Oryzias latipes: one gene and its partners. The protein of the gene in region 2 interacts with the protein of the main gene of each other region in a biochemical or structural test. Links are inferred from orthologs where the notes say so. Each region holds a gene or a part of one and is shown on either strand. Other genes may lie near its edges. The genes, in order: ADP-ribosylation factor 1, arfgap1 and lrrk2.

The links.
Region 1: the proteins of arfgap1 (region 2) and ADP-ribosylation factor 1 form a complex in vitro, tested with the Homo sapiens proteins (2 studies listed by BioGRID, with this or other methods). The link is inferred for Oryzias latipes from reciprocal best matches to the Homo sapiens genes ARFGAP1 and ARF1.
Region 3: of the proteins of arfgap1 (region 2) and lrrk2, one has a biochemical effect on the other in vitro, tested with the Homo sapiens proteins (3 studies listed by BioGRID and IntAct, with this or other methods). The link is inferred for Oryzias latipes from reciprocal best matches to the Homo sapiens genes ARFGAP1 and LRRK2.

Annotation. Positions count from the first base shown.
Region 1 is NC_019877.2:22,745,311-22,756,350, forward strand, and holds the start of ADP-ribosylation factor 1, read right to left. Parts: upstream 5,605-11,040; 5' UTR 5,473-5,604; intron 4,297-5,472; 5' UTR 4,287-4,296; coding exon 4,139-4,286; intron 3,141-4,138; coding exon 3,030-3,140; intron 912-3,029; coding exon 787-911; intron 51-786; coding exon 1-50. Other genes in the region: uncharacterized protein LOC101166422, read right to left, coding at 8,514-8,678, 8,804-8,904, 8,989-9,109, 9,198-9,304, 10,779-11,040. UniProt on the Homo sapiens protein: Small GTPase involved in protein trafficking between different compartments. Modulates vesicle budding and uncoating within the Golgi complex. In its GTP-bound form, triggers the recruitment of coatomer proteins to the Golgi membrane.
Region 2 is NC_019863.2:27,805,473-27,815,738, reverse strand, and holds the end of arfgap1 (ADP-ribosylation factor GTPase-activating protein 1), read right to left. Parts: coding exon 10,184-10,266; intron 10,092-10,183; coding exon 10,005-10,091; intron 9,926-10,004; coding exon 9,811-9,925; intron 9,703-9,810; coding exon 9,646-9,702; intron 9,533-9,645; coding exon 9,500-9,532; intron 9,338-9,499; coding exon 9,308-9,337; intron 6,789-9,307; coding exon 6,732-6,788; intron 5,715-6,731; coding exon 5,655-5,714; intron 4,767-5,654; coding exon 4,711-4,766; intron 4,610-4,710; coding exon 4,273-4,609; 3' UTR 1,996-4,272; downstream 1-1,995. UniProt on the Homo sapiens protein: GTPase-activating protein (GAP) for the ADP ribosylation factor 1 (ARF1). Involved in membrane trafficking and /or vesicle transport.
Region 3 is NC_019864.2:2,191,350-2,202,064, forward strand, and holds the start of lrrk2 (leucine-rich repeat serine/threonine-protein kinase 2), read right to left. Parts: upstream 6,373-10,715; 5' UTR 6,043-6,372; coding exon 5,907-6,042; intron 4,263-5,906; coding exon 4,177-4,262; intron 1,629-4,176; coding exon 1,519-1,628; intron 1,075-1,518; coding exon 986-1,074; intron 817-985; coding exon 676-816; intron 402-675; coding exon 267-401; intron 1-266. UniProt on the Homo sapiens protein: Serine/threonine-protein kinase which phosphorylates a broad range of proteins involved in multiple processes such as neuronal plasticity, innate immunity, autophagy, and vesicle trafficking.

The DNA of each region.
Region 1 (11,040 bases), on a different chromosome or scaffold from region 2:
AAGCCCAGCTTGTCTGTGATCTCTGCAGCATTCATGGCGTTGGGGAGATCCTATGAAGACAGGACAACGTCAGCAATGGTGGAGCAAATGCTCCGCTCAAGAACACATCTGGACCTGGTTCTGGCCAACACCTGCTGGCCCAGATTCCCCCCTTTATGGGTTTACTGCAGTGAACGTTATGTCCCACATTAAATAGAGTTTTTTCACTAAATTGCTTGACTGTTGCTCTAAGGTCCTGATCAGAGATGGCCTTCGTTCAAATTAGGCCTGCACAATATACCGCAAATTTATCGTTATCGCAATATCCAGCTCTGCAATAGGCATATCGCAAAAGACTGCGAATATCGCAATAAATCGTAAACCCAAAATGTGTTAAAGCAATCTTATGGCAGCTTGACGCTTTTAACGAATCAAATAAATCCCTTTATGCTTTGACCAATCAGATGGACGCCTTCCCATTGTTGACCAATCAGATGGAGGCCTATTATGTTAGATGTTTGTCACCTATGTCGATGAGGGTCATTTGGAGTGTAATTTTAAACTGTTTCTAATGAAATGGGAATGATGTTTTTGGCATTTTTCTATTTTTTTTATATACCGCAAATTATATCGTTATCGCAATATTAATCTCTACTATTGCATATCGCAAGTTTTCCTCATATCGTGCAGCCCTAGTTCAAACAAACAGGTTTCATCGCTCCTCAAAACAATGATCCTGAAAACATGGAGATGCGGCTACCGCCTGTTCTTCACGCCACAGAAGACGCCGCAGACGTCCGGCCTCACCTGTTTGTTTGCGAACACGAGCAGCACGGCGTCCCTTAGTTCATCCTCCGCCAGCATTCTCGACAGCTCCTCCCTGGCCTCGTTCACCCTCTCCCGGTCGTTGCTGTCCACCACAAAAATGAGCCCTGCGAAGAAAGCGGCAGAGACCACCGGCTCAGAAAGACACAGCCAGACAGAGGAATCGAACCTGCATTACAAAACCTTTATGCTGGGCTTTGAAAGAGGAGGTTGCCTCTTTGTAACGATGCTATTTCTACAGACGAACACATAAAATGTTGGAGGACTTCTGAAATCTTTGACTGGATCCAATAGAAACTCTTGAACTGGAGTCTTTGGGTTTAACACACGCGTTTGCTTCAACCTTTGTCATTTGGACGTCATGCGCCACTGTGACCACAAGGCGGCGGTGAAACAGACTTTCGAGTGTCGTGATAAAACACGTGAATGTCACGCGGCTGAGATACAGTCAGACAGCTGTGACACTTCAAAGTTACAGTCGGGAATCTTTGACATTCTGTCAAAAGCTTTGCTTCTAAAAAATATTTCAGGATGTTTAACGTCCAGTTTAACTCGTTGCTAGGTTACCGGGTATTACTAGTTAACCGTGGACCACTTTGGCTATAAAAATGGCAGCATCACTTTTGCCGGGTAATTTTTTACCCGATATAATATACAAACAAACAAAAAGTACTTGTCATAAAAAAAATAGATCAAAATGATCAGCACATGATAAATTAGAGTGGGTTTATTTTATTTCCCACTGTGGTAAGTGTAGCAAAAGGAAAAGTCTTCATCAGGAGTGAAGGACTAAAAATGGAAGACAAAACATTTGGCAGCACAACAGCAGGTTGAAGTGTAGAAAAGAGCCTTGAGAGGAAAAGCTCTGTGAACAGCGAGCCGTGGGAGTCCAAACGTCTACCTGGACGCAGCTTTCAAGCCGATCAGAAGTCAACTAGAATCAGTTCCATCAAACTGGAACTGGTTAGCTGCTAAAAAGACAGTTCCTGAATCAAACTTTCTTTATTTGCCCGTTTTCTGTGACTAAACAACAGTAACTTTGACAACACACACATTTTTTAGTGCTGTTCACTGTTGAACTGCTTAATTCTGACCCTACAGGTGATTTTAAAGATACTGGTGCATTCTTCCCTTGTGAGCGTGTTTCTCTTGGTCTGATTGCCGCTCGGCACAAACCCTGTGCTGGTGTCCGATGTTTCGTTCAGTCACTCCAGCTGACCCGAGACTTAACGGATCTTTTTTCCACAAATATCTGAACATATTATTATTGCACTACTTTGATCTTTTATGTATTTTATTGCATTAGTAATTTTATGAATTGTGTTCTTAATTTGCCTAGTTTTAAACTTTCTTCAGTCCTTTATCGTACAGCACTTTTGTAAATTGCTACGTAAATAATAAATGTCATTCATTTATATAAATGTAGTTCTATTTTAAATAAATCAACAAAGCTTATCAGACATGCAAGTATGTATTTTTTTTCCAGGAGAGTCTGGATGAACGGTTACAGACTCCACACATACTGAGCCAGGAGGGTTTAACTCCATGGGAAACCCAGAACCTGTGAGGATTGCTGAGTTTTCCAGAGCCTCTCTGGATGCTCACTGCAGTTGACAAGAATTAGTCCCATATATGCTAGACCTGCGATATTTTCAACAGCTAAGCACATACACAGTCCACACACACAACACATAAACGAAGCCTTGATTGGCTGAGATCCTTTTCCAGGTGACCACTGTTATCATATTTCATGTATTCTTCTGTTTTCAAATGACTTACGTTAACTCAGATAGTCTAATCCCAGGATCTAAGCGTGACGATTTGGGCCTAAAACAACAACACTGATTTGTTGCCATGGTGAAAATAGACTACTTTTAAGGTGATGTCGTTCCCAAAAGCTTAAAAACGTTTGTTTTTATATTAAAATTGACAAAATAAAAAAGAAAAGCCCTGACAGAGAAATATAGAGAGGAAAACCAGACGTGGAGGTTTGTCTCTGAAACCTAACTGTTACACCAACTGTTGATTTTCTAGGCAGGAAAAACTCAAATAGCCCTAATAGTTGCTGACGACTTTAATGTCAGGAAAAAGGAGGAGTCAAACAATAAACCCTTAGAAGAATTGAACAAAAGTATGAGTCATCGGTCCAGCAGCGTTCAGATCATCTTCAGCGCAGAAGTTAGGCCCCCTATAGGCAGTAATGCGCTCCAACAGTCGGCCCTTACCTTGAGTGTTCTGGAAGTAGTGGCGCCACAGCGGCCTGATTTTGTCCTGACCGCCCACATCCCACACCGTGAAGCTGATGTTCTTGTATTCTACCGTTTCAACGTTAAAACCTGCACAAATGAGGACAGGCTTAGTGGCAGACACGGATCTGAAAGGCTCCCCAGGTTACATTAAACAGGTCATAAATTATCATTTTAATTGGATTTCAAGTTTACCACAGAGTATCTCCATTGTTAAAAGCATTAATTGTCAATATCTTTGTTCATTACAAATTCATAAACTAAATCATTCTAAATGTCATTTTTTTCAATCTTTTAAAAATGTTCTCAGATGATAAGGCTGATAAAATACATTTTTAACTAAACGTTTAAATCAACACTAAAGCTACCAAAACGTGCAGAACAGAGATATTACAAATAAGCAGAGAAAAGCCCACGTGGAGCTGAAACGTCTCCGTTTTCATACGTTTATCTGAACTCATCCAGCTGAATGTGATCTGGGCCGATCCACAGATCGAGCTGAAAGAATTCACCAGGAAGCAACAATAACAGCCGTGAATAACTAGGATCAAAGGCAGCAAAATGCATCTCCTTGTAAAAATCTTTGGCCACAATATGTTTAGATTTTGTGGAAACGAGCTGAAAGTCAGCTCTGATGGCTGACGGTGTAAATGTTTTCTATCCAGACAGCCGGAGTATTGACTTAGACACACAATGGTTAACTCAAAAACCATGAAATACAGGTAAACAGTGATGAGTTCAGTGTCAGCTTGGAGAAACTAATTGAGAAACCAGAAGATTTGTGTTATTCAAGCACAGAATACTGCAGCAAAATGCATTGTATGCAGAAACAGAGAGGTTATGAAATTGCAATGTTTTTAGCAATCCACTGCTGTTACTGCTGTTTCTGTTGAGATCAGAACAGACTTCGTTCAACGCAATTTTTAAAAAAAATCCCGACAACAATTTTGGCGTAACCTATATATCATTAATATAACATTTTGCTTTTTGGGTTTAACAATATCTCTCTCACTAAGACAGTTTCAGGATGAACAGATCCATGCAGCGTTTTGACATGAAAAACGATCCATTGCAAACAGAAATCCTACCGATGGTGGGGATGGTGGTGACGATCTCTCCAAGCTTTAGTTTATAAAGGATAGTCGTTTTTCCAGCAGCATCCAGCCCAACCATTAGAATTCTCATCTCTTTTTTGCCAAAAAGGCCCTTGAATAAGCTTGCAAATACATTCCCCATAATGACAGAGCTGGAAAACAACAAAAGTAAATAACTACAACATTTTAGTACTCGTACAGAAATAGTAGAAGAAAACCAACACATAAATGAACATCATAACAGACAATAATAGTAGGATTGAAGCAACGCTGTCGTGTTTTAGACTCAATAACAGAAATTTAGAGATATAGAGTTAAATGTTCACTTTGGCTAAACTGTTTTACATCTGCACCATCAAAATAACTATTCAGACATATAGTTTGACCTAGAGTCCTAGTCATCTGTAGGTAATCAATGACAGTACCAGAGCATCGATGACCCTAAATATAATTTGGGAGGCATTCACGGTTTAAGGTAAATCTCCAGACTGATGTGCATAACTGCTTTCCTTAACGTGGGAGTTGTGAAGGTCTACATAAACACATCAGATGTGTTTTCATTGGGATTTTTAGTGAAAATGTCATTTATCAAAGTTTTTCGGCTATTAGGATCGAAACTCAATGTGGCCAGCATCAACAAACTAAATATTTCCCCTAACTTCTATCTCGACTTGACGTGCGAGCTCCAGGACCATAAATTGCGTGTTTTAATGGAGTCCGCAGCAAACTGGACGGACGAATACTTCGGACAGCCGGCTAACCGCACAGCTAACAGATGACTGGGGCCTTGTCAGTCAGTAAACGACTGAAGAATAGTAAAAAATAAAATAGCAGTATTTTCCTTTTACGGGCAGCAGTCATATATCAAATGTAACAGTTTGTTTTAAAGGAAATCAGAAAGTTTGTGCTGTCACCACCCATTACCAACTGATGGTTAGCTTGACTATAGGGCGGATGCTTCGACTTGAGCCTAGCCTGCTGCTAACGGCTAAAGACTGGGTTTGGTCCGTGCGAAATCATTCTGTCAACAACGAACAGGCGGTACGTATCCACGAAGTTAAAGGTTGACGTATAAATAAGCCCGTTGGTGTAATATGTGTCGTGTAAAGTGAGTATCTTTTACTCGTTTTTTTCTTGTCAGTCGATCCAGAAACCACCGTAGCTAGCTAGCTAGCCGCCGTTAGCTCGATGCCGCGTCACATTACATAGAGAACAGCATGACGTCACGCAAAACCACACCAAAATTTGATCATTTAGGTCGAGTTTGAACTCACTCTCATAAAACGGCATACAGAGTAAAAAAAGTAATTGGTTCTGGTGGTTTTTACCTTTAAAAAGACAGCTTGCTGGTCTTTAGGTTATCTTTCACTGTCACTCCAAAATGGCGTCTTGCGCAACCAGGGAGACACCGGCGTCGGGCACGGCCCACTATCAAGCCTCAGCCAATCACAGCGCGTACGGTGTACCAAATGTCCCCGCCCCCGCCCAGCTCTCCGTCCAATCAGCAGAAAGATCGTCTGTGCGTCGACGATGCACAAAATGTCGAGGAAGTTAACTCAAGTTCTTCAAGTTCCACCGCCGTCAACGTGACAGGAGGACGGTTCAGCCGCTGACAGCTGAGGGAGGGATCGAACATGCGGCACTCTCCAGCAGAGTGCACGAGAAAGGCGTACAATGATCATGACAAATAAAGGATATTGTCCTCTCTTCCTTGTTGTTAGGTTGAACAACAGGCGGGTTTTCATTGTGTTCAGTGTCTTTCTTGGGTTGAATTTCCTTTGGTGTCTTTTCTACTTGGATCCATTGTTCTTTGTTTGACTCTTTTTGTCTTTTTTATACATGTCAGTGTTGGTTTGCTTTTATTTATTAACGTTTTTTTTGTTTTTTCCTACATTCTCAGGTTCACATTAGGTTCCAGAGACACCAAAAACCTAAACCATCATTTATATGAGCTCACTTGTGTGGCAATGTACAGACACTTAATAAAATACATGGAAAAGTGTTTTCATTTTTTTATAATTCCATTTTAGAACTAAGCTTTCATAGAGTATAGATTCAGGGTCCAGGTTTAATTGTTAAGTTGTTGTTTTTTTTACATAAATTGAGGTTCCAGCTCATAAAACCCTAGAAAACAGGATTTCGCAAAATCCTGATCGAGTGGAGAAATCTGCTCAAATTCTGAATATTTCTTACAGTTTCACCATCATCTACTGAACTCAAAACACCAGTACAGGTTCCCCAAATGTCTTTAAATGGGTTCAGTTTGGTTCAATGTGGGAAAGACTTGACAACTAGAAGACCACCATAAATATCCCACCAGAGGTGGTCCGCCATGAGCAAAAGTAACAGCTGGTTATTTGGCTTGCTGAAGGTGAGTGATGAGTATTTTTTTTCTTTTAGGTATCACTGCTTCTGCCCCTCACTCTCTGCTGGATCGTTGCACTGCAAGCATTCAGTCAACTCACCTGCTCTGTCCTCTGCCTGCTCGCCTACCTGTCTGCTCGCCACTCAGCCGCGCTTCCAGCTAACCTGCCCAGCCATTCTGCTCTCAGCTCCATGCTGCTATGGCCGTTTTCTGCTCCTGTTTCCCTGCATCACCGTTCTGCCCCAAGCCTCATAAGCCCCTGCACCTCTGCAATTTTGGAACCATTTCCCAGAGACCCTCCTGGAGACCAGTTTTTTGGGTTGCAAAATCAAGAGTGCTTGTGACTGAGCCCTAGACTCCTGAGTTCCACCACGCTCCAACGAGCATCCTTCTCTTTTCTGACATCTGTGTCTGACTTCCATCCATTTGCTGTACAGAGGACTTAACTCCGCCCCCTCTCTGCTACCTGCGGCTCACACTCCTCATCCCAGTGAGCCTGCATTTGCTCTGACCACTCAAGATCACTTCCCATCACTAACCCTCTCCTGTCTCCGTAGCATCCAGACATTTGCTGTATTTCTGCAGGACCTGAGCTGCTTCACGTTTAAAGAATAAAATAAATCTGGTTTCTTGCACTCCTGAGTTTGTCCTGTTTTGGAAACGATGCGTGATAATTCCACGTAAAAGCTTCGCTTTTAAACTGGCTGTAGCGTTTTGAGTATGTACATTATTCCCAATGGAATATTTATGGAACAGTAATGTTTTTCATTTAGATTTTAATCATTTTAGACATCTTAAAGTGCTTTAGTGCTGCAAAATAAGATTATATTTTAAGTGTCTTTGTGTTTTTGACAAAATGCTGTTTCATATAACTTGAGGAATCAAAAGAAGTTTGACAAAATACCAACAATTTAAACAGTTTATGCTCCTTTAAATCCAGTCTTTATACACCAAATGTTTTATTATACATTGTTTTTTGTCACGTCTATTAGCAATATTTAGTTTTTTTCCTGCCTGTTTAAATATTTTATTTCTGAATTTTTTCCCCACAGAAACACAGAGGAAGTTTAAAATTAAACAGAAAAGCATAAAAACCACATCTGTACTTAATTAAATCAAAGAAAAAAACGCAAAGACGTTCAAAAATGTTTTAAATAGAAAGTATTTGTTTTTAAAGATTTAAGATGTCCCTAACTTGTAACAATCTTTGTATGATTTACATTATTAAAAAGTTTTAATGCAAAGATAATGTTGGTTTGAAGAGTTTTTTGCAAACAGAAAACTCCACAGAGGAGCCCCAAAAGGTCATCCACAGCCGCGGGGGGCAAACAGATCCTGTTTATTTCAGAGGTCGTCAGTGACAAAGTGTTGTTAAAACTCAAAGCTTGGTTGAACGATCTCCATTATTGCTGAGTCTGCAGGTCAGAGCCAACAGCATAAATCCAGGGGGGGGCCGAACCTGCTCTGTGTCAACAGTCCAGATCTGCTGCTGATGGAGACATTTTCTTCACAGGGCTTCAACCTTTTTTCTTCCATGCGTTCATCTCAGTCTTTTTCTGACGGGGGTCACAGAGGCGCCAACCCCCAGACCTTCCTGCACGTCCGTTATCCTTTTCTCCGTCCTCAGATCTCCCCTCTCTGAAAAGAATCCTATTGAAATACAGAACATTCTCAACTTTTGTGCAAAGCTCTATTTTTCCTGGGTCTTGTTGGACATCCGAGGTCTGAATTCCTGAAGCGGAGCTCTGCTAGAGTCACAAGCAAACCTCCTTTGGGAGACTTGCTTTTTTCCGAGCCTGTGGCCACAGGCAGCTGTTGGAATGTAGAGCAACAGGTGAATCCACAGCTTTGTTTTTTTCGGCTCGGCTTTCTGTCTTTCACGACTGAGGATGCTGTTGCCTCAGTCTGGATGGGCGTCGTAGTCTTTGAAGAAGGTAGTGAACCTCATGACAGAAGGACGATGTTTGAGCAGGAAGAAGAGTTCTCCGGCATTTCAAGTCCATTTCAGTCCCGCAGCTCCAGCTTGCCGTCTCTGACCCTCCACTTCCAGCGCTGACACCCGTCAGGAGCGGGAACACAGCGGAGCCACAGACCCGACACTTTGACCTTCTCTTCCAGGGGCACGAGCTTTCTGTCCAAACTTTCCAAAGTGAAGGCCTTTCCCCAGATCTGGTGAAGGATCCATGTGATGAAAGATGTGAAAGTCTGACAAAGTCCCTTAGACTTATATGTTTCAATCGATTTTAACATGATATCAAGATTCCTTTTTGCTAAATGAAGGCAGGATTTCATACCTGATCACTGATTCCTACGGCAACATGACCCACGTTGACCTGCCGGCTCTCTCGGATCCGCAGACACTCCCCCTGCATGTTCTCGATCCAGACATCAACACCTGCCATCACCAGAACCAGAGACCTGATTTTAAAATGTCAGACTGTGGCAGGTGATTAGCGAGTGACCAGGAGAGTCGTTTTACCCTCAAAGCAGCAGGAGGACCGCTGACGGTCCGCCGCTCTCCACTCCAGAAGCCCGTCCGAGTGACGGTTGCAGGAAGAGAAGACGCCAGAGCTCAAGTCATCAGAAGAATGATCAGAGTCCTGGAAGAAAAAGGAAATGTGGCCGTTTTATGGGTCAGGCTCTCACTGGTGCAGACGACATTTTAGAGGTTTTGTGCATGAATCTCACATTCTCTGATGCATCCATCTGGGAGGTGTCTGAACAGCTGAAGCAGGACGGAGGTTCATCTCGAGGTTCTGGAGACCAGCACTGGATTGTGGTCCCAACTGGGATATCTGGAGAGGAAGAAATGTTTTGGACGATGGACTCTGCTTTGACAAACAGACTGAATTGTTGTTCATAACACCAGCAGTTTTCCTTTCTCAGTTTGTATTTCATCAGCTGGAATCAACTGTTCCAGCGTTACGACCTTTTATTCGTTGCTTCGAGCAGTCGGACTTCTTGCTTGATTAGACAAATGGTTGCTTCACCTCCATTCCTAATGATGTGTGGTCTCACTGACAAATGTTTGTTTCCGCATTCTCACGTTTTCCTGAGGAAGTCATCTGGAAATCCCTTTATTAGTCCAGAAAAGTCTTTCATCTTGGTTTATATTGTCATTATCATTTGTACAGTTGTGTTGTTCCTCTTTCCACAAAATGCAAACGAGCATACATTTGTGGGAACCACCACCTTTGTTTCTTTTTAAAGCACCAATGATTATATTAATTGTGATTTGGGCAAAGAATTATGGGTAAAATGACATATGATGTTTGGATGTTTTTTAATGTAAAGAAAATAAATTTAGCTTACCCCTGGTCACAGGTGAAAAGAGTGGACAAAAAAACATTTGTTTGATCCAATTTTCCCAAACCAAATGTTGTAGGAAGTTTTATTGACCCTTTTAGAAAGATTTCTTAAAAGCTAAGTGGCCCTGAAAAAGAATAGGAGGCCGGAAAAGGGGAGAGATGGAGAAATGGATGGATATTCCAACATTTCCCATTGAATTCTGGGTAAAAGTAACCTAAAAAGGGAGTGGTGCATTGACCCAAGCCTACCCTGCCCATCCCTTAAACAGAATGAACCTTAAGGGGTCCACACAGTTGTTAAGACATCATTGTAAAATGATTGGACCGGACAATAAAGTCCTTACAAAATTATCTGGAAGACAAGTGTCTTCAAGTGTAGCGGTGAGGTAAGGGTTTGGAATTCCTCCTGTAACCTGCTGGACACTGTCAAGAACCAGAAAAGACGGTGGAGAAAAACACAGGAGAGGAGGATAGAACCTCAGCCAAAAACTCAGTGTCTGATCTGAAAACAGGGGGGTTCAAACTGTTTGACAGCCAGATTTGGTGAGGTGAAAATGTGTGAACCAGCATTAATTGAACACTTACAATAACATTAAATGTTATTGCAATTGAAAACTAGACCCATTTTTACCCAAATTACTGAGAATTTCGTATTTGAAAAGCAGAAACAAATGATCCTAGATTTGACAGGAGCCTGCGGGCCGATGGAGATTTGAGTGCGGGATGCATGCGGACCGTGGGCCGGACTTTGGACATGCCTGTCTTAAAGGACCATTGGAAATGATTGCAAAGGGGACTTAAAGCAGAAATGTGTTCATGTAACATAAGTTTTTGTAAAATTTGACCTAATCAATGCATTTTATTACCATGTTGGTTTCTCTTACGGGTACTTCTTTTGCAAAATGTGACAACAAGCTTTGTTCAGTTTTTGCTTTGATTCTTTTTTTTTTTTCAGACTCACCATTCCTGAGATATTCCAGCTCTTCCTCTGATCCCCACAATCTCTTTTGACCTTTCTGCAGCAAAGGGAAGAGGTCTCTGAGAGAAAAAGGATGTTCCACTGATGCACTAGAGTCCCACTCCTCCTCCTCTTCCTCCTCCTCCTCCTCCTCATTGGCCCTTTCCTCCTCACAGTCTCCCTCATAGTCTCGGTCAGTTTTCTGACACTTGTTCTGCAGGAATTCCTCCTCTCCCATGTAGATATCGATGTCTGACTCCGACCC
Region 2 (10,266 bases):
GGGGCTCGGCAACAGTTACCGTGCTGCATGTTGGGAAATCCGTAATTTTGTTCGTCGTCACACGTTTCTAGGGAAAGCCAGCGGCAGGTAAGTTATATTTCCACAGGATAAGTGTGCTTCACGTAAGGAGGACTGCAGCACAACACACGACAGGAAAAAAATAAAAAAGATTCACAACTTGCAGCCATAGCTGTTTATGCAAAGAGTTGGTAAACTGGCCACATTTTCTTTCTCCCCGTGTCTGGAACTCCTCATAGGCGGCTAACGGCTGCTCTGTCTGTCTTCCTCTCCATTGCAGGTAGGATGTAAGGCGGTATTTGGAGGCGGATGACGCATCCTGCCTTCACCTTTAGGGTTGAATTAGAGGCTAATGTCATGAGTCGGTGGTACTCACGCGCTGCCAGAGCCATCGGTGGTCCTCCCGGTCTCCTTCTGTCCCCGGAGCGAGACTTGTGGAGAGGAGGCACGACTCCACGCCTCGTGGGCGGGACACGACGAAAATGTCAGCGTCTGCGATCGAATGAGACCCTTCCTCCTTTGGTAATGCGCACTAGCAAAAGGTCGTTTCCCCCCAAATGTCTGATGCATAGTTTATGTACCTGCGCATCATAAAACCGCCCCTTCAGCAGAAATTAGTTTAAAACTCCCCAAAAAATATATGAAGATATTTGGTTTGCTCTCTTCATAGGAATTATTTTTAGTTTGTCTTTTTCGGAATTGTGAGCATTATTTATTTTTGTTTAGCCCTGTGATTGGCTCTTAAGAGTCTAAATTCTGCAAATGTAATGGTTTTTGTGTAATCTAAAAGCCATTACTTTACTCATCTTTCCTTTAAGTTTGATTCATAAAAATGAATTATTCTCAATAAAGTTATGTTATAAGATAGTTATAGTATTTTATAATTAAATCTGACGCAGAAAACGTTCTGATATACAAAACAATGAGAAAACTGAGCCCTTATTTTCCTTTAAAAATGGAAAGTTGGCAATGAATGAGGGTAGCTATCTATTATGTAATTCAATTTTATTTATATACAATTTAGGAAGAAATATGGAGTTTGCCTCTCCCTGCTCCCCTATCACTCAAACTCACTATTTTTATTATGTTCTGTACTGCTTTTTTAACCAAATAAAGACCCATTGAGATCAGAATCTCTCCTATGTCATAAATCAACTTTTTACGCGTTTAAGTGTATTATAATGTTAATTCTTCACAAAAAACAACCCCAAATTTTGATCAATTTACGCATCTCTGAGTTTTCCTCTAGAATCCTGCATTCTGAGCACCAGCCCCCCCCCCCCCAATCCACCAAAACGAGTGGGTCCTCACACTGTGATGTCACAAAGTGAGGACCAGCCCCTTTCAGAAAGAGTCTGCACTGCCAAGCCAACACACACACTTTCTCCAGTGATCGTTAAAAACTCTCATTTTATATGCACAATATTAGGCCTGCACAATAAATCGCAAATTTATCGTTATCGCAATATCAAGCTGTGCCATACAAATATCACAAAAGACTGCAAAAATTGCAATAAATGGTTACCTTAAATGTGCTGAAACAGTCCTATGGCAGCTTGACGTATTTAATAAACCCCTTTATGCATCTGACCAATCGGATGGAGGCCTTCACGTTGTTGGCCAATTGGATGGAGCTCTTTTATGCTAGATGCTCGTCTCCTATGTAGACAAGGGTTGACTCTTTAAATGAAACTGTTGCAGTGAAATGGAAATCATGTTTTTGGATGTGTTGCTATTTTTTCATGTAACGCAAGTTAAAGTGTCATCGCAATATTGATCACTAATATCGCAAGTCTTCCTCACACTATATTAAATAAAAAATTGTTATTTAGTATGCCAAAGGTAAATATATTATCATATAGTCTACTGAAAGACTTAAGAATAGCATGATGAAGGCCCTTTAAAGGCGATCTAAGGTGGATCTTTGTGTATATCTTTAAAAAGAGAAATAAAACATAAGGGAAATAAATGCCATTCACAATACATTTTTTTATTTTTCATAGGATCCACATGAACAGGAATTTTCTCCGCACTGAGCTGGGTTCATCACAGACTCACTCTGTCAGACGGGCGGCTGCTGGTGAGACTTCAAGCAAACAACTTCAATTCACTGAAGAAACAACTGCATGTATTTAGATCCACATTATATATCATGCATGACATCAAAAATAGCATTTCTCACATAATTTGTTTCATAGACATACAGATAAATCCAATTTTAGATGTTTTACAGGCACAAAATCACAACTGCTGCTCTGGGAAAGTGAATCCAGATGAAGTAAAAAAAAAAACACATACTTGTATATATATAAATAAAAATAAATTTTATATGAAGAGTTACGGTGTTTTTCATTTTGTAGTGAGTATGTAAATTAAATAACCCAATAAAACCTTTGTTTTTTGTTTCCAGAAAACTAACTGCTTAGGTTTGGCTTGACAGTAATAGATTATCAATGCTCAAAGGCTTTCAACATACATAAAAAAAAAACATGGCCGACATACTTTTAAGCCTCAGTGATGCAAAGACAGTTTGGGGATAAATTGGAGATTCATGGATGGACGTCCATATCACTGTCACACGAGCTAACACAGCAGCAACAGAAACACAGCTAGTTAAGGCTCTTCACACTGGACCGTACAGGATGACGAGTGCGGTTTCAGCAAGACACACGTTACAGCAGTAACTTATTTTTACAGCACAGTACTTTAATTACATAAGAAACACTGTAACCTTGCTGCTCTGTTTTTTTTTTCTTTCAAATTTTTTTTTTTTTTTCAAAAAAACCCCACAAAGTTGAACAAAAAAATGCCTGGAATCAAGTGAAAAGAGTGGAAAAAGGTTCTCCTCTGAAAACCAATCAGCAAATACAAAACTTGTAAGAGGTAGTAAAGAAAAAAAAATGGAATAAAGCTCCCAGAACTTATGTGTCACTCATCGAAGCCGCGAATGAAAGATGTTTTCCATCCTGAGGTCAACGAGAACTGAATGAATTTTCCATCAAGTTAATCTTTGAAGATTACTGGCCAGCAAACACAATCAGTACAGGATCCAATCATTCCTTTGCTTTTCGTTTTTAATAAACTATCAAAAGTACAAGTAAATAGTTCTCAGCTTAAGCTTTATTGAGTAATACTGAAAAGGGCCAAGAAGAAAATAAGTTCCACAAACCAAATACCAATACTTTAAAAAGGAAAATCATTTTGATCAAATTTTAAAGTTTTTTGCTTTTTATAATATATCTAAGATGTGTAATATGAGTTTGAAAACAGTTTGAGAGCTTTAACTAATTTAAAATATGAACCTTAATAAAGATGTTCCAATGAGTGTAGGAAATGTAGAAAACAATGACTTTATATGTAGATATTTACACTTTAAGAGTTTTAGAATCACAGTTTAATTCTGACTCTGATCAATTTTAAAGAGAAAGACAGCATGCTGACCCACTGACTCACTGAGGGGTAACACTGCACCTACATGTACATTTTAATTGAAATATTTTACTTCAGACCAACCAGAGAGCACTACTTGCCCCGTCATGCTGTTATAAAAAAATAGTTTTCGTACTACACGAGCCAAAGTAGCTTTCTAATCTTTCTGAACATCTCAAACACATAAGCTGCTGTAGAAAGGCCTTAATCAGAGAGGTTCCAATGTTATTTTTCATTATAAAAGACTAATCAATGTTGCAAAAAGGACTCGTACATTTCTCCAGCACAACAGACTGCAGATTAGAATGAGCTGCAAAGTAAAGTTTGGCATAAATGAATTTTACAAAACATGTAAACATTTTTGCAAAAAGGGACATAATTAAATGAAAAGGGCAGGTTGTATTTAGTCCAGTTTTTCTTATTTACAACAATTTACAGTATTTTTCTTTCATGCGTGCCATTATCTGCAATGACCTAAACAGTACTTGCTTCATTCATAAAACCCAGACTGTTTTCTGGAACTATATTTGGGAGGTACCTCAAGGAAGTTTACATTTTACATACAGTTGGGTTTTTTATGGAAATAACTTACAGTGACTTGTAGCTCTGAACAGCTTCATTTCTTCCTTTTATTAAGAGCTTAATCCATTTCTGTCTTTGATTGTTTTGTAAGTAAGTTATGGAGAAACAAAGAACTTAAAAAAACAGGGGCTGAGATGATGCAGATGTTTTCCTGAAAGTGCCAGCAGGATGAGCGGGAAAGGAGGAGACAGGTGAAGAGACAGAGAATAGGAAGAGGTGAGATGTTATTTAGGAGTTTGCCATCTACCAGTCTGCAGCTTCCCAACTTTCTTCAGGTTTCGTCGGACTCTTCTTCGTCTTAGAATCGGCATTTTCCCAGCTGTTGTCCCAGGCCTCCCAGCTCTCCTCCGTGCTGTGTTTGTTGTTAGACGCTCCTTCTGAACCCCAATTGTCCCAGCTGTCTGAGCTCTTCTTAGCAGAATTATCTGGGATGGTCCAGCTGTCACTGCTGGGAGATTTCTTCTCCTTTAAGGAAGTGTTGCTACCAAAGGTTTCCCAGAAGTCCTTTGACACTGGCTTGTTGGAACTGCTCTGATACCCCTCAGCTGAATCCATGTTCTGGTAGCTCTCTGCACCGGTTCTGAACAGAAGTAGATGAAGGAAATGCTTTATTGCAATCTGGCATTGATAAATGAAACACTGCTGGCAAGAGATTTGTTTTGTTGACACTGTGATATTTACCCATCTTCTGATTTTCCGGAGAAGAGGTTTGTCAATTTTGCTCCAGCTCCCTGAACCTGAGTCAGAAAAAGCACGTCTTAAAACCAGCGAATGTGTCGAACACATGAATGAATCAAAATAATAATTAAAGATGACTTCCTGAAGAGGGTTTTTTTTTTTTTTACTTGTACAGTGTTTACTGATAGCATAAAGACCCACTCTGATGACAATCATGTTTTTGGTGTTTGTAACATATTCTTGTGGCATTTTTTTATGACGGAGGACATACATTAAAAAAAATTAAGATTAAAATTGCATTTATGAGTATTTCTTTATTCAAATTGTTATTAATCAGGAGCAGAAGAATAAATAGTTTAAAAAATGATTTTATTTGTAACGTAGAAAATAAGATGACCGGGCCACAAGCTCCCTGCTCCGAGCTCTCAGCAACGGGGCAAGGAAGGGTGGTGGGGTACCTCTGCACCAACAGTCCTGCCCACAACTCAGAGAGGAATTTCTAATGAACTACTGCCACTCTGCAGAAACTATGTCCTAGAAAACAACAAAGGTTTTTTTTTTATTTCAGCCAAAAAGGTATAATCATAATTATAAGACCACTGGGAAGGTTTCCAAAAGATAAAAAGACAATCAGAGTGGGTCTTTAACAAAACATTTTACAAATGTTTTTTCCTTTAACAAACATAAATCCCTACTTTTTCTGCACTTTACAGCAGTACTCACCGCCACAACATTAACGACAGCAAGAAAAAAAACAACAACATGATATTAGCATTGTTTACATTTCATCAACACTGCAAAACCAGTCTCCTCGAATGGACAAAAAAAGTCGTTGCTGACCGAGAGGCTCGTCTCAAACTAGGTCAGCCTTCATTCAGATCTGATGACCTCTGTTCAGGAGACTGGTTTTGCGTCAGACGAGCTCGGCAGAGGTCTGCCTATCCTACCTTGTTTGCTATCCCAGAGAAGCTGACTGCCATTTCATCTAGCAATTTGCCATCTTTCACCTGGATGAGCCACATTTAAGATTTAGAAAAAACAAAAAAATCTACATTCCAATAAGTTTGCTTCATAGAAAATGTGAGCCTTTTTCTGGAAAGAATTAGAGCCAAATGCAAAAGACAGTTGGATGAGAGAGAAAAGGGAAACGGGCTGTGAACACTTTTAATGCCAGCTTTACATTGAAAGACAAGTGTGTTGATTCCTTTGGATAGAACAAGCAAAAGGAGCAATTTGTATGGAGCAAAACACAAAAAAATAACACGCTGGTCTCTCAAGTCTCACTTTGCTTGAAAAGAGCATCAAAACATGATTCTCTGTTACCAGAGTAGAACGTGTTTACTCCACTTACCACCACAAAAAGTCAAGTCTATCAACTTTAAAAGCCACTTGAACGTGTGACACATTCAAACCAACTGTGTGTAAAACCTAAAGATTTCATAGACAACCACTCCCATAAACTAAAATACTGTAAGCAAATCATCAATCCGTCATTCCTGCCTTCAAAACTGAGGCAGAATCAACAAAAAAGATATTCTATTAAGCAGAAGGCTTTAGCCCTTCAAAAATTCAGGGAACATTTAGTATAAGGGAAAACATTTTGACAAAACCTTCCAGCTTCTCACCACTAATTCAGGTCAAAGCAAAAGGATGAATTAAAATTGGTAAAAGGGACATCTTGTTTGCCAATTACAGCTTTTATTTGTGCAGACTAAACTCATAAAGACTAAAATAAAGCTTTACAAGATCTGAAGGAATCCAACCAAGCCATGTCCCTAAACAAGGTTGAATCATCTGAAGACAATTTCGCATTAAAGACAACTTTTATTTTTGGCACAGTGAGTGGAGATTGGCTTAAGCATGCTCTTGTCGTTTAATGTAGGCTGGCATAAAGGAGATAAAGTGGTAAAGACAAGCAGCAGAGGGAAAAAGCACATTCACATCTAAAGCCATTTTGGTTGTTATTTTCCATTTAAAGAACTGCATCCCACCACCAAACTGACAACTTCAAACATTCATTTTACCTTCTCTTGTGTGGGTTTGATAACATTCTCATTTAATGTCTGTCCTAACTCAGTTGCCTAGTTGGAAGTCAGAAAAGAAAGTTTGATTGAAACAGCTTAACATTCACATTAAGACATGACACCGAGCGGCTCTTCTTTAGCTGCAGAAACTAAGCATTTTCATCGAACGTCACACTGAAAGAGACAGAAAAGGGTGTGACAGTAGAAAAAAAACAAGTATTTTCCATCTTCAGAAAGAGACTTGGATTCATAAAAGTGTCAGTTTTTAAGTATATTTGACCTTTTAATTTCTTATATTAATTTTTCCAGTTATAATTTTGATATCATGTTTCTAGATAGTTTATAAAAACGTGGTTTAACTTGTGCAGGAGCACAGTTTAAAAACAGGCATTTTTACCTTTTCCATGTAAAACAGCCCACATTTATTACTAAGTTGCCACTAAAAATCTGGTCCACTGACTGAAACCCAACAGGGCCGCTTGTTAACTACACTAATGAATGCAACCATCCAAAAACGAGGCGTTTGTTTTGGACAAACTGTGGCTAACACAGTCTGCTTTCATATAAGATCTGCCGTCATCCCAAGTCGCAAAGTTTATCACAAAAATCATAAAGAGAGGGAAACTCATTTTCCATTTTCCAGCCTTTCAGTCAGAGACCACAGCTCTGACAGGGATATAATGGCACAAAATAAGCACACAAAGAGGCCGTTTCTCCTCAGAAGTCAGCTAACCCTGCTGGATGCACCTCAGTCAGAGCGGCACCAGAGTCACAGAAACGAGATAAAGCAGATTATTTTTAGGCAGGATATCTCAACCTCCCACACAAACTCAGGCACTTTAGCCAAAGAGTTAAGTAATGATCTGTTCTCTACAGCCAGTTTCAGCAGAAAGAGAACAGAGCTCCAAGCTAGAACCCGCAGGAGCCACTAGTCTCTCTTTAAGGCCAGGTTCTAGCTCCTTATGTGTCCATCATGAAGATTATTGAATAGACTAGAAATACAGTCACATAGGGAAAAAACTCTCTCTGCTAATGCTAACATGATAATTAGTGTTACTTCAAAACAAAAGCATATTTTAGCCTTTTAATAAAATGATGTTAATTCAGCTATTTAACTAAGAAAAGCTATATTGCACCGAAGCATCGATCCTTTTCTAAGATCCGTTTCACCAATTAATGTTTACAATCTAAGAACTCCAAAAGAGAACTTTTTCTTCTTTAACACTTTAAAGCTTTAATTTCTTCAAAACTTTTCAAAATAATTCATCTGTAACCTTAAAGAGTACACATTTGTGTTTTCCTTCTCACTGTAAAACATCTTTTTCAGGTTTTATTTGTTCTTTTTCTGTTGAACAATACAACCCAGATGGTAAATGACCCCTTCTGCGTAATTCCTGTGGGAATTTTTAATTACTACGGGCTGAAAATATAATCCAGGATTAAATGGAAAGTTCATAGAAACAATGTGAATTATTTTCTACCATAACACCCCTCAGAGCTCTTTAGCGGTTTCAAAAAAAAGTTGCCATGCAGACACAGATAACCCAGTACAAGTACTTCTTGCAAAATTAGAATAGAGCAGAAAAGTTCATCCATTTTTGTCAGTCATTAAAAGAAAGTGAAACTTTTATATGTAACAATTTAAAAATCTTAAAATGTCTTGAAAGTTTGGGGATAAAAATCTAAAATTTAGTCTATAAGAACTTAAGAACTTTGTGAAAAATTGGATCAAACTAGTGGCACATCCAAATCTGTTAAATAACTTAAAACTTCTGCAAAGGTTTCCTGAGTCTTGCAATTGTGTTTATCCACGCGGTTTTCTAAAATCTACAGTTAATGCGGTCATCTATCAGGAAGTTCTGGATCTCTTCAAGCTGACCTTAGCTGACAAGCAGTGTGATGATGGTGATTTCATTTTCCAGCAGGTCAAGAGGAAGGTGAGAGACGCCAGACCCAGCAATTCAGATGCCCCAAAGGCAGCTATCAAAGCAACCTGGGCTTCTATTCCACCTATGACACAGGCTGATTGCCCTAATGCCACAGAATATTGATGCATATTCATGCAAAATAAGGCCCGACCGCTGTTTAGTGCAGAGAAATTTTTGCAGATTTGCACTTAAAAGATGCTTTTTTAATTTGATTTGATATTCTAATTTTCTGACACAAATTTTTAGGATTTCATTATCTATGATCCAAAATCATCAAAATGAGAAGAAATGAAGACCTGTAATTGGTAATAATTCTATATATTTTTTAGTTTCACTTTTAAAAATGACAACATTTTGAACTTTTACAAAACATTCTAATTTTTTGAGATGTACCTGTATTTGTAGAGGCAAGACAACACTTAATCTTTCTCCTTTAAAAAATAACAAAAATGGCTTTCAGAGCTTATCCAACTTAAAACAGACACAAGATGAGTAATGTTTTGTGGCAACAAGCAGAAACACCTGACAGACTTTCAGCAACATTAAGAAATATAAAAATGAATCTAAAAAAAAAAAATGGGCAAGAAATTAATTGATTAAAAAGAAATACTTAAAAAAGGACTTCATGCACCTAACAAAGTGCTTTACCGGTTCTGGGGGTGCTTTATAACCCTTTAACTACATCCAGAGAGGGCAAATAGAGTAGCAACAACAGGGATTAGAAATCTGAAGTTCACCATCTTACAGTTTTTTTCTACCATCATGCTTTTAAAGAGAGAGCGACATTAAAAAGGGTTAAAAACTAAACATATAAGAAGCTTAAAGCCAAAGAACTCTTACTTTCAGAGTTGCTTGGTTTGCCAGTTTGGTTGTCTGTGTGAAAGCAAATGATAAATAATTGCTTCAACTTTTTTATTGCTGTTCTTGGTGATTCAGCAATTTAGTGTATAAACTCAGTTTTAGTTTTTTTATGTAAACACACTCACATTATCTTTGGCAATAGAAGCAAACTTGCTGGCTCCGACTGTGAAATTACTCCAGCCCTGAAAATAAAATCAGAATTATTTTTATATTATTAACAATATATTATAAACAATTATCGACTGTAAGTTTAGGAACCCGGGTATAAACTAGTAAAAAGTGTTACTTACTGAGTAAATTGAAGTCATGGCGTTATTCAGAAAGTCGTCCTCTTTCTTCTCTGGAGTGACCGTGTTGCCAAACCCAACGTAGCGGTTCTCCTGATTGCCGCTGTAACCACCTCCACTAAAAAAAAAAACAATTTACATACTATTTTTTTCTTTTTAACATTGAGGAATACATAATTTAAAAAAGGAAAACTAACCTCTGATAAGAATTTACATCGTTACTCAACCAGTCTTCAAATGCCTTGTCACCAGAATTGGCTGAGTTTCGTCCAGGTCCTACAGGCCTTAAACAAGGAAAAATAAACTCAACCCATTTAGCTTTTCCATTTCCATATTTTAAAAATTGCAATGTTAGTTGTTTTTTTGTCTGGATTACCGAGTGGAGGATAACTGGCTGCTCTTGGGTTGAGGAGAGGTCCAGTTTCTGGCCGAAGATGTTTCGATGGACCATTCCTTCCC
Region 3 (10,715 bases), on a different chromosome or scaffold from region 2:
TGGTTTGACTCGTTAGGATACTTTTGGATTGTTTTGAACCATGACTGGAACTTTAGTGCATTTTGAATGAGGTTGTGTTTTTATTTGGATCTTTCCTGTCTTGTATTGTCGATTCATGTATGATCAACCTGTCCACTGAATACACAAAAGCTTCAGGAAAAGATTGTTTTATATATGAAAAACTTACATTTCAAGTTTCGGACCTAATTAATAGAAATGTTCCATACACATTTTTTTAGAAAGATTTTGGTGTATTTGGATTTTACCGGTGCAAGCCAGAGGCAGAAGCACTTTCATGGCCTGCAGGAGCACCCCTGGACTTCCTGGAAACCTTTGAAGAGCTGAAAGAACAACATCATGGTCCTGGTTCTCCACAAACTCCACAAGATGAGCGGCACTGACTGAGAACACAAACACAAGAATGACAAATTAGGAAGTTTTCCTAATCCTGACAGAGAAAAAAGTTACTCAGTGCAGTTCTCAGAAACATTTAATGTGCCAGGAGCAGTGTGGGCTTCAGTGTCTTGCCCTAGGACACTTCCACACAAGCTGGGAACTGAACCTGCAATCAGAGGTCAACCGCTCTCTCTCTGTTTACCACATCGACAGCCTTAACCTTTGCCCTTTTAAAGCATTTCCTTTTTAAGCCAGTTTCCAACGCTCTGGTTTGTTCACCTGTGTTAAGCAGCCGCTGCAAAACTCCACAGCCGTGAAAGTGAACTTCATGGCTGGTAGGAAAAGTCTTCATCGCCTGGACCACCAAGCTAAAGACATCCTCCTCCTCCTCCTCCTCCAGCAGCAACATGGGAATCACATCTATTCAGGAACAGAGGAAGAAAGCATCGGGAAAGTAAACACAGTTTGATCAAACACTGAAGAACTAAAACATTAAGTCAGCTTTAGAAAATAGAAAGCAGGGCAAACTATTCTCAAAGTCCCACTCCAACATTTCTGTCACAGCAGTGGGTCTGGTGCAGGTGCACACCTGATGTGAGCAGCAAAGCCAGCGCCCGAAGTCCAACCATGGTCACATGCCAGTCTCTGCTGTGCTGAGAAAGCACCTTCAGGATCTGCCTGGAAAACACAGCAGCACAATCAGCATCTGGGCTCTAAGCCCACAGCTGCAGCACACGACAACAGCGTCTTTCAGAAAATGCAGGAGGTTTTTGCAATCAACACTAGTTTGTGACAAATGGATGACACTTGCTGGAGCAAACTGGAAACACAGACTGGCATTTGAATAGTTAAGATAAATGCTGGTTGTAATTCAGCCACGTGGAACTTGTAAATGGTTCCACTGCAACAAAGTCGTGTCTTTTGCTGAAGTTATCCAACTAAAGTGTAAAAGTCTGTTACTTCCAGGGCTTACTTGGGTTTTTTTTTTTTTACTGCCAGCAAATGTATAACACTGTCTCCTCTAAACATGTCACAACTTCAGCTTCCAAATCATTTCTTTGCATGACCCTTTAACACAAGCCTTTCATTATTATGGGAAGATTGGGGCACTGGGACACTTACTGGTGCACAGGCAGGACCTCCCAGTCTCTGGCAGCCTGCAGCGGCCTGGTTAGCTGCCCCAGTGTGCCGGGGCATATTTCTATCAGCTGACAGAATAATGACAAGCCCACCTGCAGGAACGAAAACTTTACTTCCACTTCAAATACACATAAAACACATTAAAGAAACACACTAATAGAAAGATTGTATCAATTAAATTGAACTCTTTTAAAAAGTGAAGCTGTAGCTGTACATGGTCTAAGCATGAGTGCCTACCCAATCGGACTTTCAGTTTGTTGTAATCTCAGTGTGTCGCCTGCGATAAGTTTGAGTAAACAGCGGTCACAATTCCCCACCGGCATGCCGGATAAGGCCAATACAGGTCACTTGTGCGTTTTATTTAAGATGCAAAGCAGGACTGAAACTCAGACAGATACACACCGCTTCCAGCACACTACAGACCACAGCTGCAGCGACTGCCACTGTGTCAGGACAGCTAGGGTGGGGTCTTCACACATGCTAATGACTGACAGGTCAATTACTTTGAACATTTTCCCCAGCATTTTTCTTATTTTTTAAGATCATTATCTGCTTAAAAAGAGAGAAAGAACCTAAACATCAAATTTGGAGAGGACGCCTGTCTTGAATTTAAAGTGGAATTGAAAGATGTTCCACCTTAAAACATGCAGGTGTGTGTGAAAACGACTTTCCTGAGGCACGTTGCAATGGTCTAAAAAATAACCTAAATCTGATAGTAATAGCATTAAATAATAATTCTATGAGAATGAATGAAAGTCAAACAGAATTATTTTAAAAACTACAATCCTAAATCAAAGCTGGACTTAAATGACGGCACCCCAAGAACGACAATGGAGACCATCCATGTGTGTCCACATTCTTGTCATCAGTCAGTGGGCCTATGTAAAGGGCTACAGGTAGTCCCTGTGCTGTTTGGTGACATGGTGTGTACCACACTCAACATGGACCAGAGGAAGCAAAGGAAAAGAGATTGGAAAGGAAGTTATTGACAAGCATGTCAAAGGTAAGACCATCTCCAAGCAACTTGATGTTTCTGAGACAACAGTTGCACATACTGTTCAGAATTTAAAGATCCATAGGACTGTAGACAACCCCCTTGTATGTGGGTACAGGAGGAAAACCGATGACAAATCAAAGAGTTGGCTAATACGAATGGTAATGAAAGAGCCCAGAAAAACTTCTTCAGAGATTAAAGGTTAATCAAGACCCACTCCAATGGAAATAATGTTTTTTGTTGGTGCTCTTGAAGCATTTTTCTGATGATGGTAATCCCAAAACTTTTAAGAGATTTTGGAGAGAAATCTGTTGGTGTGTGTCAGAAAGCTTGGTCTCAGTCATGGCTCATGGGTCCTGTAACAGGACAATAACCCAAAAACGGATACCTAAAAACACCCAAATAAGGCTAAGAGGAAAACGTTAGATCAGTATTTCCCAACCCCGGTCCTAAGGGAACACTGTCCACCCTTTTCTTTCAACCCTATTCTACTCAGAGAAGACCTGCCTTTGATGATGGCCATTATCAGGCTTCGGCAGAGCTTGAGGACGAGGTGAATCGGGTGTCCTAAAACAGGGTAGCATGGAAAAACAAACAGGACAGTGTTCCCCGACGACAAGGGTTGGGAAACATCAATAAATAAAGTATCAATTAAACACTGCGTTACTATTCTAAAATGGCCCTCTGTAAGCCTTGTCCTCAATCCTATAGAGTATCTTTGAAAGATACTGAAACATGCTGTCTGGAAAAACCACAGGAGCAGTTTGCTCACAAGGAGAGGGACAAAATACCTGTTAACAGGTATAAGAGTCTGTTAGACAGTTACAGGAATCGTTTGATCGCAGTGATTGCCTATATGGTTCAAAGTATTAGATTACTGGTACAAATTGTAAATCATCCTGTAAAGGCGTGGTTGTAAAGCAATATCTGACCTTCATTGGTTAATTTTCATTATACCATGGTCCGGGTGAATACCCGATTCTGATTGGCTGCTGGGTGTGCATTAAAACCTGATAACCGCACGGTGAAAGAAGAAGTTCCGGTCACCTAGTTTAAATGTTTTGTATCACTGCTCTGGCTTCTTCAAAACAACCTTTTGCTTCATCATTTGGACAAAAACAAGTGGTAAGAGGTGAACTTTCTCTCTGAACTGATGCTTCATTCAACCCATTGGAAAGATCAGCATATATATATCGCCGAATCTTGACTGCAGCGGTGGTCCATCACGTAACAAATAGTCCGCTTTTTGTGAGAAAAGTGATCCAAATTGGAAAAAAAACAAGAATTAAGGACTAAAAAACTGGTTCAAATGTATAGATTTTGTAAGTGACCATGGTATAAGCGGGTTAATGGCCTTGGAAGTGTGCGGTTATTACTTTTTAACGCACTTCGCGTCGGACGGTTCAGGCTTCCACGGCGTGCGTTAAAAAGTAATAACGCACACTTCGTCGGCCATTAACCCTTACTTATTACTTTTCTCAGATTCAAATTTCTTTGACCATCGAGCTTTTCTTTCAATAACGGAAGGGTAACAAAAATGTTGTCCACGTGTGCATCAGAACCCCACTCTGAGAGCTTAGACTGGTTGTGGATACCAGCTGATTTAAAAACTCCTGTTGATTTGATGGGGAAAGGCCTTGCATTACCTGCTGGACTCTCCTGCTGCTGATGTATGTGGACAGCACAACCATAAGAGGTGTGTGCACTTCTTTGTCTTTAAACAGTTCAGCTGCTGCAATAAAACAAAAGAAAGCTTGGATGAGAGAGCAGGACCTGACGAGGAGGAGGTAACATCGTGGAGGCAAATTCAGTCCAATCCATCACAAGTAAAGAACCCACAACGTAGTTTTTGGATCAAAAATGAAAAATGAAAAATTTACTGCCAATTCTGGAATGAACTTTGTTTGAAATTAAAAGTTTAAAGGATGTGGAAGTAAGTAAAATGTCTGTTTATTGGTCCCTGTTGTTGTTTAAATAAAAACATTAAAAATGAACATTTTCCTCTGCCATGTTTCTTATGATGGAAGACATGTATAAAGAAAATAAATTCAAACTGCATTTCTGAGTATTTCATGATTTGGTCATCAACTAAAGTCCCACTCTGATCCTCTTTTGATCTATTTTCAAAGCGTACTGAGTGGCCTTTTATTTATAATTATGCTGTTTTTAGCTCAATTCAAAATATTTGTCATAATCTAGGACATGGTTCCTGCAGAGCAGCAGGATTTCATTCTAAATTTGCTTCTGAGTTATGGGTGGGACCGTTGCAGAGCAACCCCCTCTTCCCATTGCCCATCTGTTCACAGTCTCTCCCACTAGCCTACAGACCCTCACAACCCCAATCGATGTAACCAAAAGGCGAGCAACATCGCCCGGCAATATGCAGCCGTACAGTTTTGATCCGGATTCCAGTCCAGTTTGAGAAATCAAAGTCATACGTGGATCTATTCGTCTGCAAGTGGATGCATCAGAATGGAGCAGAGCAGGAAGCGTGTGCCCCCCCCCCCCCCCCCCCCCCCCCCCCAGTTTATTACATCTACATCACTATTTTACAAACAGCATTTTGTCATCTACTCCCAATTTACAAAAATTTGAACCCAAAAATACTCAAAAATATATGTCCTCCGTCATGAGAAAAAAAAAATGCCACAAGAACACCAAAACCATCGGATGTACGACTCTAAAATTCAGATGGAGACATTTGAAGGCAGACTCAATTCTAGTCGTTCTACATGCAGCTGTTATCTGCATGAAAGCCTGTGTTTTAGGGGAACTTTTCTGAGTCAAAACGAAGGTATCAGCAGGACCTCTGGCTGGAGAGCATTTCTGTTTTTTGGGTGTCGGCTTGATCTGAAACTGGCAGGTTGAGAGATGAACTAAAAAGACACATGTTTTGCCGGCATGCCCTTGAGCATCACAGGTTCAGAATGGGGGGTTGGATGTCCTTCAGGTGGTTCCGGGGCACGATGTCTGCTCACACGGGAGAGCAGAGTTGACCCTGTCGGAGGTACTAACCCTCAGACATGGATTCATTGGAGTTAAAGCAGTCCTGCTTTGTTTTTGTCCACTCATGGCAGTGGCATTGTGCCGTTACCATGGAAATGGAGTTTCAACAGGGATAAAGTCATTTTAAAAATGACCATTATTATTGAAATTATTGTAGGGGGAATATTTTCCAAATAGATTTCATAATAAAAGTACATCTAAGATCATAAACCCAAATAAAAAAAAACATCATGCAGACTTTTCAGGGACATTCAAGTCTTTGCTAAACAAACTATTTGAAATATTCTGTAAATGGGAGGCTAAGACGTTGATGTTTGTTTGTTTGTTTTCGTTTGGTGGTGTTGGGGGGGGGGGGGGGGGTGGTTCCTACCGGAGTCCTCGAGCGCCAAGGAGAGCAGATCCTGGATGATCTGGATCAGCGTGGACATCAGCCTGTCCTCCTGAGGAGACTTCAGCCTCACCAGAAGTTTCCTCAGCCGTTCTTCTAATTCCTCCTGGTCGACCATGCTCCTGAAAGTCTCCCGGTACTAGTGCATTGGTCGAGGTCAGTCGGTCGGTGTTTCCCGGAGAACAAGACGAACGAAGAAGAGCTCGCGCTCACCGCGCCGTAGACGTTAGCTAAGCTGCTCCATGTTCCTGCAGCGACAGTGAGCCGAGCCGAGCCGGGCGGGGACGCGGTCCCTGAGTAACTCAGTGAGTTCCGGCCCTGACCTCATCCTCGAACCACTTTCTCTGAGAGAAGAACGTGTTCCTCCTTCTTGCGGCCTCGGAGAATCCGAAAAGACCGCGGTTCCTCTCTCTTCACAGGCGAGTTCCTGTTTCCACGCACTTCAATCATATGACTCGAGTCTGAAAAACACTTCCCGTTTACACAGGAGACTCACTGGCAGCTGTCCCACTGACTGACCCGGTCCGTTCCGGTCCGCCCTCCTCACGACGCCTGACAGCTTCGCTCACGTCCGCTCATCGTTTGACTTCATGACAGTCGGTAACGTAAAATGGTCAATTTAACAAAGAAAACTCAATAAAAAGACTTTACACTGACGATGCCGTTTCTTTTCTTATTGTTATTTTAGGCCAATTAAAAACCATCACCCTTCTTCCTGACAGTAATCCCTCCTCTGCTGAACAGATGCTAGATTTATTAAAGAAGTCTCCGTTTTCTTTTCGTTACCTGAAAGAGTAAACTTTTATTGTATTGCGCACTTACGCCCGGATTTACGGTAGTGTTGTATGGACCGTCAGTGGTCCAGTAAAGAAAAAAAACTATGCAGGTCCCAATGTGGAAATAAATTCATTTAGTCTTATACCAAAATTAAAAATCGCATTTTACAAATATGTTTTACGACAGAGTATTAGGGCCACAATAATAATAAGAAGAAATAGCCTAAAGAAATAGACGAGAATAAAGTCATAACTGTATTAGAAAAATATCAAAATTTTGATTGTAAAGTTGTAAAAAAAAGAGACAAGCGAAAAAGTTAAGACAATAGTCACAAAACCACAAGAAAGAAAGTAAAATATGATGAAAATGGTCGTAGAATTACATGAAAAAATTAAAAATGTAACAAAAATAAAGTAATGCACTTATGAGAAAAAAGTCAATATTTTGCTAAAAGAAAGCTGTCAATTTATTAGAAAAAGGGCTAAGCTTCATGAGCATATAAAGCCCTGCTTTTAAAACGAAAAAAGACAACATTTTATGAAAATAAAGTTGTGCAATAAAGTAATGAAATTAGAAGCGAAAGTCACCATTTTACGAAAATAAATGTGCAATAATGATGAAAAAGTCATACAATGATGTTTCAGAAATTAGTAATTTTACAAGGAAGGTGTAATGTTTTTAAAATTATATTTAGCTTTTCAAATTTCAAAGACACTTGAACATTTAACTTTGTTCTTATAAAATGTTGACATTTTTCTTCTAACTTTATGACTTAATTCTCGTAAGATGTTTACCTTCCCCCCACCCCCCCAATTTTGCGTCTTTATTCATCCTTACACTGTCATACTAACTACATTGGGAAGCCCAGTTTTCCTGTGTTTATCACATGAACCTTTGTATACCTGCAATTATACCAACCAGCAGAAGATCAGCAGCTAAATGCAAAGAATTTAAAAAAAAACCGTAATTAGCATTTGAACAAACAAGTGTTTCATTCTGTGTGGTAATGCTAGAAAACAGCACGACTAAATAGAAATTAAATATTTCAAACTTGAATGATTTAAAACATGGTGAGCAAATGTAGGTGTAAAAGATCACACAATTTGAGAGTAAAAACGAGTCAGTGAGTCAGACGAGTCAACCAAAGTCAGCTGGGTGACTCCCTTCTCCAAGTTTTAAGATACTCATACCTTTAAAAGTTCATTTGAGGTACGCTGCGCAGAAGCCACAAAATTAGGATATAAGTGATCCTTCCCCACAGAGGCTCTGTGTTCCTGTGGCCAAATAGCCGTGGGAAGGTGGATTTTGAATGCCTTTCCTTCTCACGGACAACCTGGATCTGTGGGGTGTCATTGACCATATCTATATTGTTTGATGAAGCCTTTGAAGATTAAAATGCGATAGAAAAAGATCCAATCGAGCACAGGTATCATCTCCTTTGCTAATTGGCTTTCACTGCATTGAAGCAACTCTCTCTGAGCCCTCAGTAGCCGCGGTTACATGGGCAGAATATCTTGATCGGATCAATGGTCGTGTTAAAATTCACCCGTGCACATGGGATCAGAAAATCTTTTTCCGATTAGAACAAACGTTCACATGGCTCACACTTTCGGTTGGAATGAATCATTTGGGCATGCGCAGTAGTGTAAAATCACCCGGATGAGGAAATAGGTCCCGTTGTAAACAAACCGCTGCCACATACATTTATTTAATGTAGCAGCTCGGTAATATACGAGACGATCTTCCAAACGTGCTTTTATTAATGTTATGAATATTATGAAGCGCCTGTTCGCTCATCGTTTTTATTTAATCCGTGTGATCAGTGCTGGAAGAAGGGTTAGGACAGGCTATCAACAAAGGCTAACAACATTAGCCTGATGGACACAAAATCCAGGACCATGCGAGAAACGCAGAAATCTGCATCCTGGCTGCATGTAAATGTCTGGGAATAACATCAGTCTTTATTTTGTCGGGACACAACTGGAAACACAAATCCACGTGATTGTTTGAACAGTTTCTGAGTGACATTTATTTCTGCTTCCCCAAACTTGCTGCGTGAGCTGGCGGTTCCTCCTGAGTCCTGCAGCCGCTAACCCAGAGCGGCGGGACGGCCCGCAGTCTGAATTCTCCCACACATCACAAAACAACAAAACGCACACGTAAAAAAGCATTCTCCTCCCATCAGACAGGAAGTTATTAATCCAGCTGCTCTGCTCACTCGGGTGCCAGTGGACCGAGTGAGCATCGGGGGGCACGAAGCGCTCCTGCCCCGCATGTCCCTCGTAGGGGATGAAAGAGAGGGGAGAGCCAGCGGGGCGAGAGCGGAGCGGCGCTTTTCACGGGGCGTCTACAGAGCAGCTGGTCGGTCCTGTTTGAGCTCCAAAGCTTTCTCTGGAGTGACACACCGTCTATGCGTGAGGTAAACAAGACCAGTAGTGACACACGATCGGAATGACCGTTTACATGAACAACGATCGGATAAACGATCGGTATAACCCACCTATCTCGATCGGAAAGAAATTTTGATCCCAACGAGTCTGACCGGGGCAGAGTATTCCGAATGGCGCGTTTACATGACGCATTTTCTTTCCGATCAGGTGTTCTTTCCGATTACTTTTGCCCATTTAAACGCGGCTAGTGTCAGCTGGTTATGTGTGATAGCAGTTCTTTGTGTTTATGTTCTTAGGTTGAGACTTCGGGAATGAAACCCTGGGACTTTGCTACACCTTCGCTCATGGTTCTTCTTGCATTTGGGTTCCAACCTGCTGGCCTGACCGTGACAGTTTACTGCACTTTGAAAACAACAAATCTTGTTCATTTCCTAAAAGGTGGATGAAAACTCTTTCTGTGGACTCTAGGACACAATTTTAGCCCCAACATTTGCCTGATACCCTTTCCACCCCTACATGCTTTAAAACATCTATTAACTGAAGACCAGGTCCAGGCTGTACTTTCTCCAGAGGCTGCGCTCATTTGACATCAGCCCCATTTTTAATGATAAGGTCTTTTTTGTTATATCATTTTCAAATGTACCTAAGACGGCACTAGAACATTTTAGGTGATGATTTTCTCTATTGCAATGAAAATCTTGAAAATGTCCTTGGCAAAAGTAGAATAGATGCAGTTTTTGTGATTTGAAAAAAAGAACTGCGTGTTCCTGTAAGGATTCGGTGGCATTGTTCTTGGTCATGTTTTTGGTTTTCTTTTTGTCACTCACTCCAGTTTCGGGTTCATGATCCACAGCTGTCTTCAGTTCAGTTAATTACCCTCAGCCTATTTAAGTGTCTTGGTTTCTGTTCATCCTTGTAAGGTTATCTGCTCTGCTGTGTCACAGTTTTGTTTCTCCTCATAGTTTTGTCATGTTTCAGTTTGCTAATTAAATGTTTTATTTCCTGTCACCAATCCTGGTGTCCTGCATTTTGGGTCCTCCACCACGAGTTCCTGACAGTTCCACAGTGGAAGTCGAAGGCGCTTGACAGTATAGGTACGATAACCATTCAGACTACAACTACCTTCTCCTAATGATGACGTCACATTATGTGATTGGCTGTACATTGGTCTGATGACGTTTAAGATAGTGATTGGTCCGCAGGTTTACAGACAATTACTGTTCCACAGGGCTAACACCGTTCTTTTACACGCCAACACCGACACGCTAACAACGTTGTCCGTGAGAGAGTTCGTCGTGGGAGCCGTTCTTCGTGACTTACAGTTCTTCGTGAGAAACACACATGGATGACTTATACAAGGAAATTTCCCATTACATATCGAAAGGGACTTATGATAGCCTCACTCTCAATACCAAAAATCCTGAAAGCAAGAAGGCTGCCATTCGAAAGTTATCAAAGACTTACACTGTTAAAAGTAAGAAACAATGTGACTTGATGTGTTGAATTTACGTTGTATAATTAACACGTAGATACCACTGATTAATTTATAACCGTTTAGTACCATTAGTCATTTCACAGATACTATAATAATGCTCTCTTTTCTGGTATAGTAGATGGGCACCTG